Bombyx mori: one gene and its partner. Each later gene encodes a partner of the first gene's protein in a complex. Links are inferred from orthologs where the notes say so. Each region holds a gene or a part of one and is shown in the gene's direction. Other genes may lie near its edges. The genes, in order: paired amphipathic helix protein Sin3a and sin3 histone deacetylase corepressor complex component SDS3.

The links.
Region 2: the proteins of paired amphipathic helix protein Sin3a (region 1) and sin3 histone deacetylase corepressor complex component SDS3 are in contact, whole or in part, in an NMR structure (PDB 2N2H), measured with the Mus musculus proteins. The link is inferred for Bombyx mori from reciprocal best matches to the Homo sapiens genes SIN3A and SUDS3. Residues at the interface, in NP_001103821.1 of Mus musculus: Glu616, Glu619, Leu620, Val623, Arg672, Ile673, Tyr674, Ala675, Lys677, Asp680, Ile681, Ile691, Ala692, Ile695, Val696, Arg699, Met702, Lys703, Glu706, Trp707, Glu709, Ala710, Phe714; in NP_848737.3 of Mus musculus: Ala205, Leu207, Asn208, Tyr209, Leu210, Leu211, Gln215, Ile216, Glu218, Asp219, Leu220, Thr222, Leu223, Leu226.

What each region holds. Positions count from the first base shown.
Region 1 is NC_085108.1:1,029,507-1,035,613, forward strand, and holds part of paired amphipathic helix protein Sin3a, read left to right. Parts: intron 1-697; coding exon 698-797; intron 798-2,416; coding exon 2,417-2,538; intron 2,539-3,257; coding exon 3,258-3,423; intron 3,424-4,180; coding exon 4,181-4,362; intron 4,363-5,010; coding exon 5,011-5,151; intron 5,152-6,107. UniProt on the Homo sapiens protein: Acts as a transcriptional repressor. Corepressor for REST. Interacts with MXI1 to repress MYC responsive genes and antagonize MYC oncogenic activities. Also interacts with MXD1-MAX heterodimers to repress transcription by tethering SIN3A to DNA.
Region 2 is NC_085116.1:2,412,768-2,419,560, forward strand, and holds the start of sin3 histone deacetylase corepressor complex component SDS3, read left to right. Parts: upstream 1-2,883; 5' UTR 2,884-4,065; coding exon 4,066-4,231; intron 4,232-6,282; coding exon 6,283-6,346; intron 6,347-6,793. Other genes in the region: SH3 domain-binding protein 5 homolog, read right to left, coding at 2,257-2,325; F-BAR domain only protein 2, read right to left, coding at 1-2,197.

The sequences.
Region 1 (6,107 bases):
ATTCAATTTAAAAAAAATGATAATTAAAGGAACTTGAAATTATAAACTCTGAATAAGAGTTTATCGTACTACAATTATAATATTTGATTGCCATCTTGCAACCTTATTGCGGATCTGTGCATAGAATAAAAAAAATATTGATCGGGATGGAAAAATAGGGGTTGATCGTATAAGAGTGAAAATTGAGAGTAATATATTTTTTTTTTATTTTAAGTCATGACAAAATACAAACAAAATTCTCGCAAAAATTTTTAAAGTTTTTTATTAGCAAATAAAAAATAAGGGTTGATCGTAGAGGGGTGAAAATTGAGGATTGTATGTATTTTTGTATGTTGTATCATAAAAAAATAGAAATTAAAAATTTTGTCTAAAAAATAAATTAAAAAATTTAGGGGTGGACTACCCCTAACATTTAGGGGGATGAAAAATAGATGTTGGCCGATTCTCATTGATACCGGATAAGCACAAAAAATTTCATCAAAATCGGTCAAGCCGTTTCGGAGGAGTATGGCAACGAAAACTGTGACACGAGAATTTTATATATTAGATAGATGAAATGATGATAGAACATGCGATGTGCCTTTAACAGAATATTGAATGTTGATACAGCATGCTGCCTTCCTACTGATGTTTTGACCACACTAATATTTGGTAAAATATAGCACAAACAGAAATATAATTAATTTATTGTTTTCAGTCATCTGAATCTGATAACGCGTCAGACAAGAGCGGCAAGAACGGAAAGAATAACAAAGAGAATAAACCCAAAAATAATAATAATTTGGAGAGCAATAAAGGTGAGTTTTACATATTACATGGTAATAAATGAATGAATGAATGATTATTTTATTTCAGACAACAATAAGTCCATATGTGTACATAGTACGAGGGCGGGATGATAAGTAACTAGCCTCTGCTATTCAAAAAGTTAAAATTCAAAAATTAAATATGTCATTTGTAAATTCGTCTCTGGCCACCTGTGTTCTAAATTTCAATTTGGTGGCGTAAACATTTTATTGATTTTTTGTCATTTGAAAATATATTTCGTCAAGTGTTTTCAAAATGGATAAATTTGAACAAAGATCGGTGATAAAGTTTCTTCATATGTAGAGCATGAAGGGGAAAGATATCTATGACGAGTTAAAGAATGTTTTGGGTAAATGTGCTCCTTCTTATGCCACAGTAAAAAACTGGGTGGATTAGTTTAAACGCGGTCGTACATGTGTCCAAGATGAAGCCCACCCCGCACGTCCAAAAAGCGTCACGACACCGGAAACGGTCGTGAAAGTACATGATATGGTTTTAACAGATCGACGATTGAAGTTATCTGAAATAGCTGACACTACAGGTATCTCAAAAGACCGGGTACATCATTTCCTAAGTGAGGAATTAAATATGAAAAAGTCATCGGCCCATTGGTTGCCGCGATTGCTTACGCACGATCAAAGTAGGATTCGAGTGCAAAACTCAAAAGAATGTTTGGACCGTTTCAGAGTAATAAAGCCGATTTTTTACGTCGATTTGTAATAGCAGATGAAACATGGGTTCATTATTACACGCCAGAATCAAAAATTCAATCAAAACAGTGGACGCAATCGGAATGGTCGGCTCCAAAAAAGGCCATGGCTGTAAAGTCGGCTGGATAAGTCATGGCTTCCGTCTTTTGGGATGCAGTTGGGATCTTGATGATAGATTACCTTCCTAAAGGTCAAACAATTAACAGAGAATACTACACTAATCTTCTAGATAATCTTCATCAATGTATTCAGTAAAAACGGCCAGATTTGGCGGAAAAAAAAACATTTTCCACCCTAGGGTCACACATGTGTTAAAGCTATGGCAAAAAATTTGGGCGGACAGAAATTTGCCACAAATGATGAAGTCATAGCCGCTGTAGAGGAGTATTTTACAGGCCTCGAAAGAAATTATTTTATGGTAGGCATTACTGCTTTAGAACGAAGATGGAATAAGTGCGTAGAGGTTCACGGAGACTATGTCGAAAAATAAAATTAATTTTATCATGGAAAGTTAAGTGTTTCATTATTAGGCTAGTTACTTATCATCCCGCCCTTGTATCATTGAAACATACTCAAAATTAACAAAACCAATCAAATAAAAAAGATACATTTATTAAAAGTAATTATCCGTTGAATACATTTCAAATATTCCATTCAACTGATACTTACTTCGAACCAACCATTATTATTATTACTATTATTTGGTCCGCAAGTGAACCATGGTACAACGGTTCAAATACCGACAGTCATAATGTAATGTCATGTATGAAAAAAAACATTATATCGGATTGGTTGTTTCTAATTTCAACATAGCAGCATTAATGGATATGAAAAAGCTATAAGAAGATAAATGGTTGTCTTTTTATTGTGGCTAATCTCTGAATGTGTTTTGTTTACAGAAAGTGTACTAACCCAGCCGACTAATGGAAAGAGGTTAAGCAATGATGATCAAATACTGAAATCTGACTTAAAGACTGAACCATTCGAAGTAGAAGATGATCTCAGGGATCACCCCCCTAATGTGAGTTCTCGTTTTTTTTTTAGAATTTAGAAGCAGGGGTAGGATCCTATCCATCTGACGAGCAATGCCAAGTCTCTGCCTACCAGAACCATTAAAATTAAATAGTAAATACAATGTATGTATTGTACACTGATATGGGGTACTTCACTAGAAACAGATCAATGACCTTGCTGTAATTCGAGATATGCGTAAAATGTATTGTAAGGTATGAACGTGCAAACAACACAAGTGAACAATATATTGTTCTATATAACAATGCATATGTGGGTATATCTCAACCTGTAATATCAGCATGTATATCAATCATCGAATGTATTGGAAACGCTTCGAATCGCCAGACCTGGAAGCGCATTGCCTGGAGCGGTCTTTAGGAGCATGGCGACCTAACGGGTGCTTCTGCACATGTTTTATTTTTATTTTTATTGCTTAAATGGGTGGACGAGCTCACAGCTCACCTGGTGTTAAATGGTTACTGGAGCCCATAGACATTTACAAAGTAAATGCGTCACCCACCCTGAGATATAAGTTCTAAGGTCTCAGTATAGTCACCACCCTTCAAACCGAAACGCATTACTGCTTCACGGCAGAAATAGGCAGGGGGGTGGTACCTACCCGCGCGGACTCTCAAGAAGAACATCAGTGCCAACATTTTAACAGTTTATTCACCGACAAAGACACACGACTTATTAATTTTGTAAATGTATGCGTGTTGTATACAGGAGGGCAGGTTCGTGTGCACGTCCTCGTGGTACCTGTTCCTGCGCGTGCACGGCGCGCTGTGCCAGCGGCTGGCGGCCGCGCGCCGGGCCATGTGCGCCGCGCCGCCCGCCCGCCCGCGGCACGACCGCCCTCCCGCGCTCGCCCTGCGCCTCGCGCCCGCACACCGTTAGTACACTCACACACGTTGACTGCTGAATGTTATAGGCTTTATATTAATTTGAATTATTTATTTCTAAAGGATCATCCACAAGGTGGACAGACTTGGTTAAGTTATCTACGAAGTGTTCCCTTACTGAGTGTACACGTACCGCCACAAATAGAGAAAGATGGAGAAGTCTCTCAAAAGCCGCAACCAAACATTAAGACATACGTAACCACGACCACTCTGCCAGGAGTGTAAGACTGAGAAGAATTTCTAAAGGCACAGACAAGTTCTCTAGTTGTCTGCTATTTAACAATAACAGAATGCCATAGACAATACGTATAGCGCCGTCTACCTTCAAGCATGACTGCAATTACCATTGCATTTAATTTACGATTATTAAAACTTTTCAAAAATGGATAACTTAAATATAATATAATGTATATGTGTATAATATATAAATGTAAATTTCAATGCACCTACCTTTATTTATTGTGCACTCTGCACTATCTTTGGGTGACTGGTAGAGAATACCACAGGTATTAAGTGCGCCAATGTAAATTTTACGTGAAGTGCTACTATTTGCCAGAACCACATATTCGAAAAACATTATGCTTTTACATTGTATTACTCTGTCACGTCATAATTAGAGATGAGCCAGAATTTCGTCGACCATTAACGCATCAGATCGAAATCTCAATACACTACACACCATTAGCAATACAATTATTGAATAAATTGAAAAAAAAAATATTTGAAAATTATGAATGTCTTCCACAGATTTGCCAGCGGACGTGTCGTCGCCAACAGAATACTACAACTTGTTGCTGGACCTGGTGAAGGGCGTCCTCGACGGCAACATGGAATCTTCCGCCTTCGAGGATGCAGCCCGAGAAATGCTCGGGATCAAAGCCTATCCGGCCTACACGCTGGACAAACTGGTGTCTATCGCTGTCAGGCAGGTTAGTATCTATGTATTGCTATATCAGACCTGAGGAAATACTCATCAGCACATCAAACATCTTGTTTGAATTACTCTTAGTATTGGATCATTTGGTAACGATAAGAGATAAATGATGAAAACACATGCGATGTGCCTTAAACAGAATATTCTGTGTTGATACAGCATGCTGCCTTCCTACTGATGTTTCTTATTGTTGTCAAGATTAACAAACTTACCACCTTTATGATGAGTAAAGAATATGTTTATGCTCAAACTTGATGACGTTGCTAACATGAACCTTAGCAAGAGCCGTGCTTCGTAGAATCTACCACCGGATCGGAAACGCGACCCACTGAGAAGATCCGGCGAGAAACTCAGTGGGCTGTGTCTGTGGGTTAATTTATTCGTCGAGCCCTTCGACGAGAACGATCACCGGTCATTTTGTAAAATTATACATATACTGGTGGTAGGACCTCTTGTGAGTCTGCGCGGGTAGGTACCACCGCCCTGCCTATTTCTGCCGTGAAGCAGTAATGCGTTTCGGTTTGAAGGGTGGGGCAGCCGTCGTAACTATACTTGAGACCTTAGAACTTATACTAATACTATACTCGGTGGGTTAAGACTACGTGCAGAATGTGTGTAGTATAGCTTGTATTGTCGTGTACAGCTGCAGCACTGCGCGTCGGAGCCGTGGTCGGTGCGCGCGGCCGAGCTGTGCGCGCGCGACATGCGGGCCGCGGCCGGGCCCTACGTGCGCCGCGCCCTCGCCGCGCTGCGCCCGCACCACGCCGCCTTCCTCGTGCGAGCGGTCAGTACCAAGACAACCCTGGCGACTGTTACATGTGCCCCTCAATAATAACTAACTAATTTATCACGAGCTTATGGATCCTTTAGATCAAATAACCCTTTCATTAGACGCCTTCAGCTCTAACACTAGGAGCCGACTGAGGGACCACAGTAACCGTGCAACCTAACCTAAACATCAGCCTTCTCTCCCAACTCTCTTCTACTCTGTAGTGCTCACTGAAGAAATGACTGTTTTTTAACGCAGTTTCTACTCAGGAACACATTTACCCCAACTGTTGTCGGTTCTCTGGCTAATACAGCCAGCCACTGCCACTTAAGCTTACTAATCCGCCGATCTTAATCAGTTCTATTATGCTTTAGGGTTTCATTTAGAGAACGCGAGCTATGGCGTGTTTTGTACACCATAGTAGCTTAAGATACTTACTTACATACTTAGCTCGCTGAGTTTCTCGCCGGATCTTCCCAGCGAGTCGCGATTCCGATCCGGTAATAGATTTATTCGCGAAGCAGCTGTCCTCGAGGTCTAGGCGCCGGGCAGCTGTTAGCAAATTCCACCCGCCCTGACTGAGCCTCTGCTCGCCCACTTGTCCTGGTACAACTGGGAGAGGCCTCCGGGCCACCAGTTAAGGCATTACTGAATGCATCGTCTCTATATAAAGACAATTTATTGTTGAAGCCCAGCGAACAGAATTGACTTGATTAGCGAAAACACATCATTTGTACTATTTATTTTATAAAATAAACTCAATGTCCGTCATAGTTTCCTTTATGCCGTTCGCAAAATAATTGAAACATCTAACTCCGATTTCGGCTTTTAGTGTCTATAGTTAAGCATTGGTGATCATCCAACTTCAGGTTGGCCTTGAGCTCTCATAAGTTATCTAATTAGAATGCTTTGAAGGAAGTGATTACCATATCAACAGGAAATTACTTAAGAAATCCTTTCTTTTGGAACCA
Region 2 (6,793 bases), on another chromosome or scaffold:
TATCTACATTGAAGTACTGTGCGGTGGGATTTTTTTCTGACTGTCGCTTCAATAATGAGGTCAAAGCAGGCATATTGAAATCTACAACAGTGGTATCACGTGTAGATGTTGATTGATTGATGGTAACCAACTGTTTATTTGGAAGTACTGTTTCTAATCTATGTATGTTTTTTAGTCTAAAACAAAGTTTTGCAGGGTTTGGATTGTTAGCAAGCACACCAACAATACCAGTGGGGAAAGAAAGCATCATGTCTCCAGACATCTTTACTTGACATTTTGATTCTTCTGTACCACGGAAATATGAATGAATTATTTCATGGAACGCAACTGCCAACGGTATAGTATCCGCCATGCCGATTGTAAGTGGGGAAGGACCACGGGAGCCTGTAGAACCTGCAGTTCGAAATTCTCCATCAGACCTTCTTGATGGTGGACGTGGGAGAGAAATAGTAGATATTGTTGGGGTGGATGTTCGAATATTGGATTGACTCATTTCACCTACTTCTGAGAATAAATCACCAACTTCAGTATTAGAAATGGGTGTGGGACTCTCAAACACATGTGACTGATTTCCTTGTAAAGGTGCATAAGGATTAGACACATTAGCTTGAGGTGATGTGGGATTACTGACAGTTGGGCTCGGGAAGAAGTCCAGGCCAACTAGGTCATTGCTTGCTTTGCTTGTATTCACATTAGAACCCCGACGTGTTGTGCCAATTTTGTACAAGGAGATATTTTCTACGGTAGCTCTGAGCTCATCTACACTAGCAGACATTGGAGCACTACCATTGGTTATAGGTTTAATCTCAACATGAATTTTCTGCTCCCTTTCCTCTTCAGAGTCAGAATCACTAGAAGAGTATACACTGCCTTTCTCTTCTTTTGGTCTTATACAAAAACCCTCCTCATCTACTTCAGGTGAATTTATCAGATCCTCCTTAATTGGTGTTTCCTCTTGTTTTTCCTCAAAATCAGACTTGTCAGCTGTTGAGTTCATAGAGTTATCATCCTTTTTCTTTTTAGATTTTTTTTGTTTTGGCTTAGTTCTTTTGCTACGTAAGAACCATTTGGACTCCCGCAAGGTGGTTCGACCCATGTTGTCCTCTTTATCTGGAGCTACCGGAATAGCTGGAGTTCCACTTGGGCTGGAAGGGGCAGAGCATGGTGCAGCACCTTCAATGTTGATAGTGGGTTCATCTTTGCTTTGGAAATTGGGAGTGAATAAATTAAGGAGTGAAGTAGTCCTCCTTGATGTTTTAGTAGCAAAAGATGGCTCTTTTTTGGGAGCTTTTCCTGGCTGCGTAGGTTTGTGAGAGCCATTAGAGACTGTAGATATCTGATCGGCTTCTGATATAGAGTTGTTAGCTGAACCGGGTTTTGGTAAAGTTGGGGGCAGCTCAACGAGAACTGCTTTTTCTATGGAAGTATATTTTTCTATCAAGAACTGTTCTAATAGTTTTTCAACAGTCAACTCTAGACACTGGTGCTTAAAGTCCCGATGCACCTGTCCCATCATATCGTGATTGTTTTGAATTATATCAGCATAAACATTAACAAACTGTTTCATTTGTTTTAAGTGTGCCTCCTCCACATCTTGAAAGTGCTTACATGTTTGAGACATTTTCTTTTCAAAATCTTGTTTTACAAGATTATACTTTTCAGCAAGCTGCCAATAGTCTTCATGTAATTTCTTCAATTTAACCTCAGCCTTTTCGAGGTCTTTAGCAGATGCATTATCCTTTCGGAGTTTTTCAAATTCAGCAGATTTTGTAGTATAGACATCTTTTGCTTTCTGAAGTGCCTGTTTAGTATTTTGTATCAGTAATACTACTTCTAAAGTACTAGATTCAGAGTCTTTGACAGCCTTATGTTTTTTATGTAATTCATCAGCATATCTCGCCACATCTTTGACCAATTCACCCACCTTCTGGAACATGTGCTGATGTAAATTAGATAGTTTCTCAGCTGAGCATTTGAGAACGCTCCAGAAGGGCGCGAATGTACCCTGTGCGCAGTTACCGTTCGCTTGTTTTGCTAGTTTAGCTAATGATTTTGAATTAGTCTCCTCAATATTGGACCTTTCCCTTAGATATTCGGAGAGCTCTTTACTTGCTATAAGTCCGTATTTCATGTTTTGATATAATATATCATATCCATTATGCTCGTTGGCGAAATAATCTACAAAGTTAACACTCATGTTTGCAGTTGCGAGATGCTACCGTTACAACTCAGAACATTATATTGTCACGCACTGACCTGGATCCTAGGGTCGAGCTCAGTATCGCCGTTGTCATCGGCTGGGATCGTGAAAGAGGATTCCTCCATTGCACTGCCTATGACTGCGAAGCCACCTAATCGTTTAAATTACATCACCGCACAATAGCGTGAAGCGTCACCTTCAAACACTTTCAACATGACAAACTAGTTATTGAAATTTAAATTCACAACAAAATTTAAGAAATGGTTTAAAATAAAAAAAAACACAAGATAACGGGTAAGTCGGGTAATGTTACGTGCTTTGTAACAAAATAAATAATAAAATAATTTTCTTGTGCAAGATGACGTCCTCCACCGTGACGTCGTATCACAACAATAGACAATCTCATACATTTTTTTCGATTTCTGCCCAGGTAGGTAGGTACTTGGTTAAGTTTTAAATGTCATGCCACCGTCCGTTAAGTAGCTGCTTCCCTCTTCAATACTGATATTGTAAAAGAATGCACGAACAATATACCAAGGCTCCAAAAGTTTACAGGATCTAATAAATTTAATGAAAAGCATTTTAACGTAACTTGACAACATCCTTTGATAAAAAAAATATAAATTGCCAATTGAATAATGAAGATATTTTGTCAAAATTAAAAATTATCAAAGGTATGTACTCAGTATTATCTTATTGGCAGATATCAACCATTTTAACTAAATCATATTTATTTCTTATTTCTTGAAATAAATACCAAAATAAGCGTAGAATGATTTGTAGACATGATATAAAGGATAAAACGCCCGGCATATTTTAATCGATTGAAACATCCGTACGGATGTTAAAATCCTGTAGGCAGATTCAAATTTTTCCAATGGAAAACGTACTGCACGTAGCCATGGGTGAACTGGCTTCCTTATCGAATAATTAACACACGTAATATGGGTGATTATTGATACTAGGACGCATTGTAAGCCCGCTCTGGTAAGTACTAATACACTTTATCTATTTTTGCCGCAAAGCAGTTATCGGGGTGACATTTAATTAAACCATTTACCTAATCTATCTCCTACAACCCGCCACGAATTGAGCGATGTAGGAAATTGCAGCCAATGTGATCTGCACGGCAGCCATTTTAATGTACAGCCAAAATTTTGCGGGGAGAAGATAGAATTGCAGAACGCTCTTCTTATTGAAATATCACGACAAGAAACAACGAAGAAAAACGTCCCACAGAAGCTGTTTGAAAGTGACTGGCCAAGCCCACACTGGAGAAATCGTTGACATGGTTATAATTGAGCCTATCTATCGCAATTTGATGAATCGGTGGTCATTGGTAGCGAGTGATAATAAATCAGCAGTTGAATTTGCATTTTCACAATTCGTTCTATTTAATTTTTTATGAAATAGACGATATTTCCTTTGCTTTCTCATTGAACAAATCGAGTAGAGCATTGTCTTTGGTTGAAATTGTGTAATTTTAGCATAATTGTTTATGGAACCCCATATAAAGAATCTAAATTACAAAGACACGAATGATCAAAAAAAAATCGGACCTTTCACTTACACTAAGTAACAATTGTATATGACTATCTAACAAAATTGACTTTTTGAAATGACTAAATGTTATACAAATAAGTCGGTTAAATTACTTTTTAGTTTTAGTCCACTTTGACGTAAAAGTAAAACATCTTTCTGCTTTAATCAGAACTTGTTCCAGTTTCGTTTCTTTTAAGAAGTTTTTATGCCGAATTCTTTATATGAGTGACACAACTGGCTTCAGCCATTTGGTGCCCGTGTCTAGCTCGACGTTACAAGAGCGCATAAATTTATTTGTGAAGCGGTGATTGCATTCAATCTGTATGCAACTGTTACGCGTCGCCTCGACTATGTCTTACCAAGGATCACCATATTCCGGCCCGGGGGATGAATACGATTTTGAAGACGATGGGTACGACGATTTAGACGACTTCAGAGACCGAGAAGAAACCGTCCCACCTCCTGCACCAGTGTTAGACAGCGACGAAGGTTTGTTTACGATGTTAATTTACCAGCATCTATAACGCTTAATTTGTACATTATTCCACAAAAAATAACTATAACCTCAATATCTTTTCAAATTTGACATGTAAACAGAGGTTACGTAATCAAAACAAGGTTATTTGCTTTCATGTTTGCGACTCAGTGAATGTTCCCGCCTATTTCTCGGACAGCCTTCTTGATGACGTAATTTAAATACTTTCACCATTTAATATACATTATAACATTATATTTAATTACCTATTATATTTAAAAAAAAAACTTCTCACTTAGTAACACATAAAGAGTAATCCTATAAACTGGTGGTTACCTTTCGATGATTCTTCTACGTGGGTACAAATTTAAAAAAAAATAAAAAAAATGTACACAATTTTACTAACTTTACATGTACCGGTAAAATGGGGCGATTAGGGATTGAAAGGCGAATCGGGAAAAAACTGGGAAAATCTTTCGACGCTCAATATAAGTTTTATATTCGTTGAAAAATCTTCCATTTTTTTGTAGTTTAACAGTAGAATGTTGAAAGTTCACAAAACAACTCTGAATATGCATGATAATAGCTGCTAACTTATAAAAAATCGCGTTTCAAATTAACTTCCTGTGGTGGTAATTATTTTAGTGCTAGAAACTTTGCTCTCTTTTATTTATTTGCTAATAATAGAAGACTACTATGATTTATAAATGTTATTTAGTGTTTGAACCAGCATATATATTAAAGGTAAGTCTCAGTTGTTATTGGTTTTAATGTATTTGATTAAATAAAAATACATGTAAAAATTTGTTGTTTTTGGGGATATTGGGGACGTCTTAGGTACAAATAACAACGAAAAAGGGGTCAATTGGGATGAGAATACGTGAAATGGAAACGAGCTAAGTATAAATAGGTACAGGTTTGTAGGGTTGTCTATGTAGTTATAACAATATTTTTTAAATTTGTTGGTAAAAATCTGGTTTATCAAAGCGAAATTGGGAATAAGTCTTTAGTTGAAATAGATAAGCAATTTAATATAACTAAGTCGATTTTGAAGAGACATGTAACAAGATCAATGAAATCTCAAGGTGGACAAAAATGTCTAAGTAATACATAATAAAATATTTAATATTTGTTCAGAGTGGGGGTATTCATCTGATTAATCCATGGAATAACCGACACACCTAATCTCTTAACCCAGATAGAAATATCAGCCCCTAAGTACTTACCAAGAACGGAGAAATATAAACCGTTTCTAAGAAAGCCCACTATATATGTATAAATATATATTTAATATATATATATTTTGTTGTTACTGCACTGTCGATTGCACCTATAATTGAGGTGATGTCTGCCATGTACTTTTGTCAGTTTTTCAATTTTTTTTATTGATGATCACTTTGTTGATGCAACTAAATAAATAAATTAATTAAAACTATATATAAAAATAAAAGTAGTGCCAACCCTAGCAAATTTCTCATTTCGTCCCAATTAACCGCAATTTTCGGGTAAATAGGGATTACACCTATTTTTGCATTTTTTGCTTAAACTGGAATACTACTTGCATAATTTTAAATTAGACAACAAAGATGCCCCCAAGACTCAATCATTTTGATCCTGATATAGCATTATATACATCAACAACTACCTTAAAATTGCTCATAAAGTTGGAATTTGTCCCTAATCGCCCCATTTTACGGTACCCAAATATGCCTAGCTGATTGTTTTGTTAATATGCAATAGATATAGTTTAGCACAAAAACAAAACAAATTCAATGCCACACTAATGCAAAAAGTTAATCCTTAATAAGCAAAATTATTTGAAATAATAGATGAATAAGTATACTTTTTTTTCTCTAGTATAACCATACTGAATAAAATTATGCTTCTATTCTTGAGTTGTTTCTGTGAAACACAACTAGGAATATTTTGATATTATATATGATACATTGCTTGAAAATACTTTTTTCTTTGTTATTACACTAGGTTTCAAAATATAATGAAGCTATTTTAAATAAAAATATGTTATTACATTATAGAAAAAGTGTTGCAATGTAAACTTTTTCAGATACAGAAGAGGCAAGCGAGGCAGAACTACCGAACAACAATGAACCTCTGGAAGTTAAAGAACAGTATGTAAAATAATAATAATTCTTTTGAAATAAGCTTCCTTAATCATGTAAGATGTTCTGTAAATGAATTTAGAATGAGGCTAAAAGCATAAGTATGTATGTTTGCCTATTAGTCCATTATTATCTAAACATAACAGGAACAGAGCCCAAATGTCTTTCTGCACAAAGATAGTTTATGCACTGATGAAATATCACAGAAAAATCAAAGATACTTAAAAGAAACATTTGAGGTTCAGAATTCTGGTGCTCAAAAATAATAGAATTCAAAGAAGAAAGCAGTTTGATATGTATTGTAATGTATAACCATCTAATGAAAACAAAATATTGGGTTTGCAATATGATGCAACTGAACTCCATTGTGTGATAGGACTAATTTAAAAAATGCTTCAACATTATAAGTAATTGAGGTCCTGTGGGAATGAGTCAATTAACTGCAATGTTAAAAAA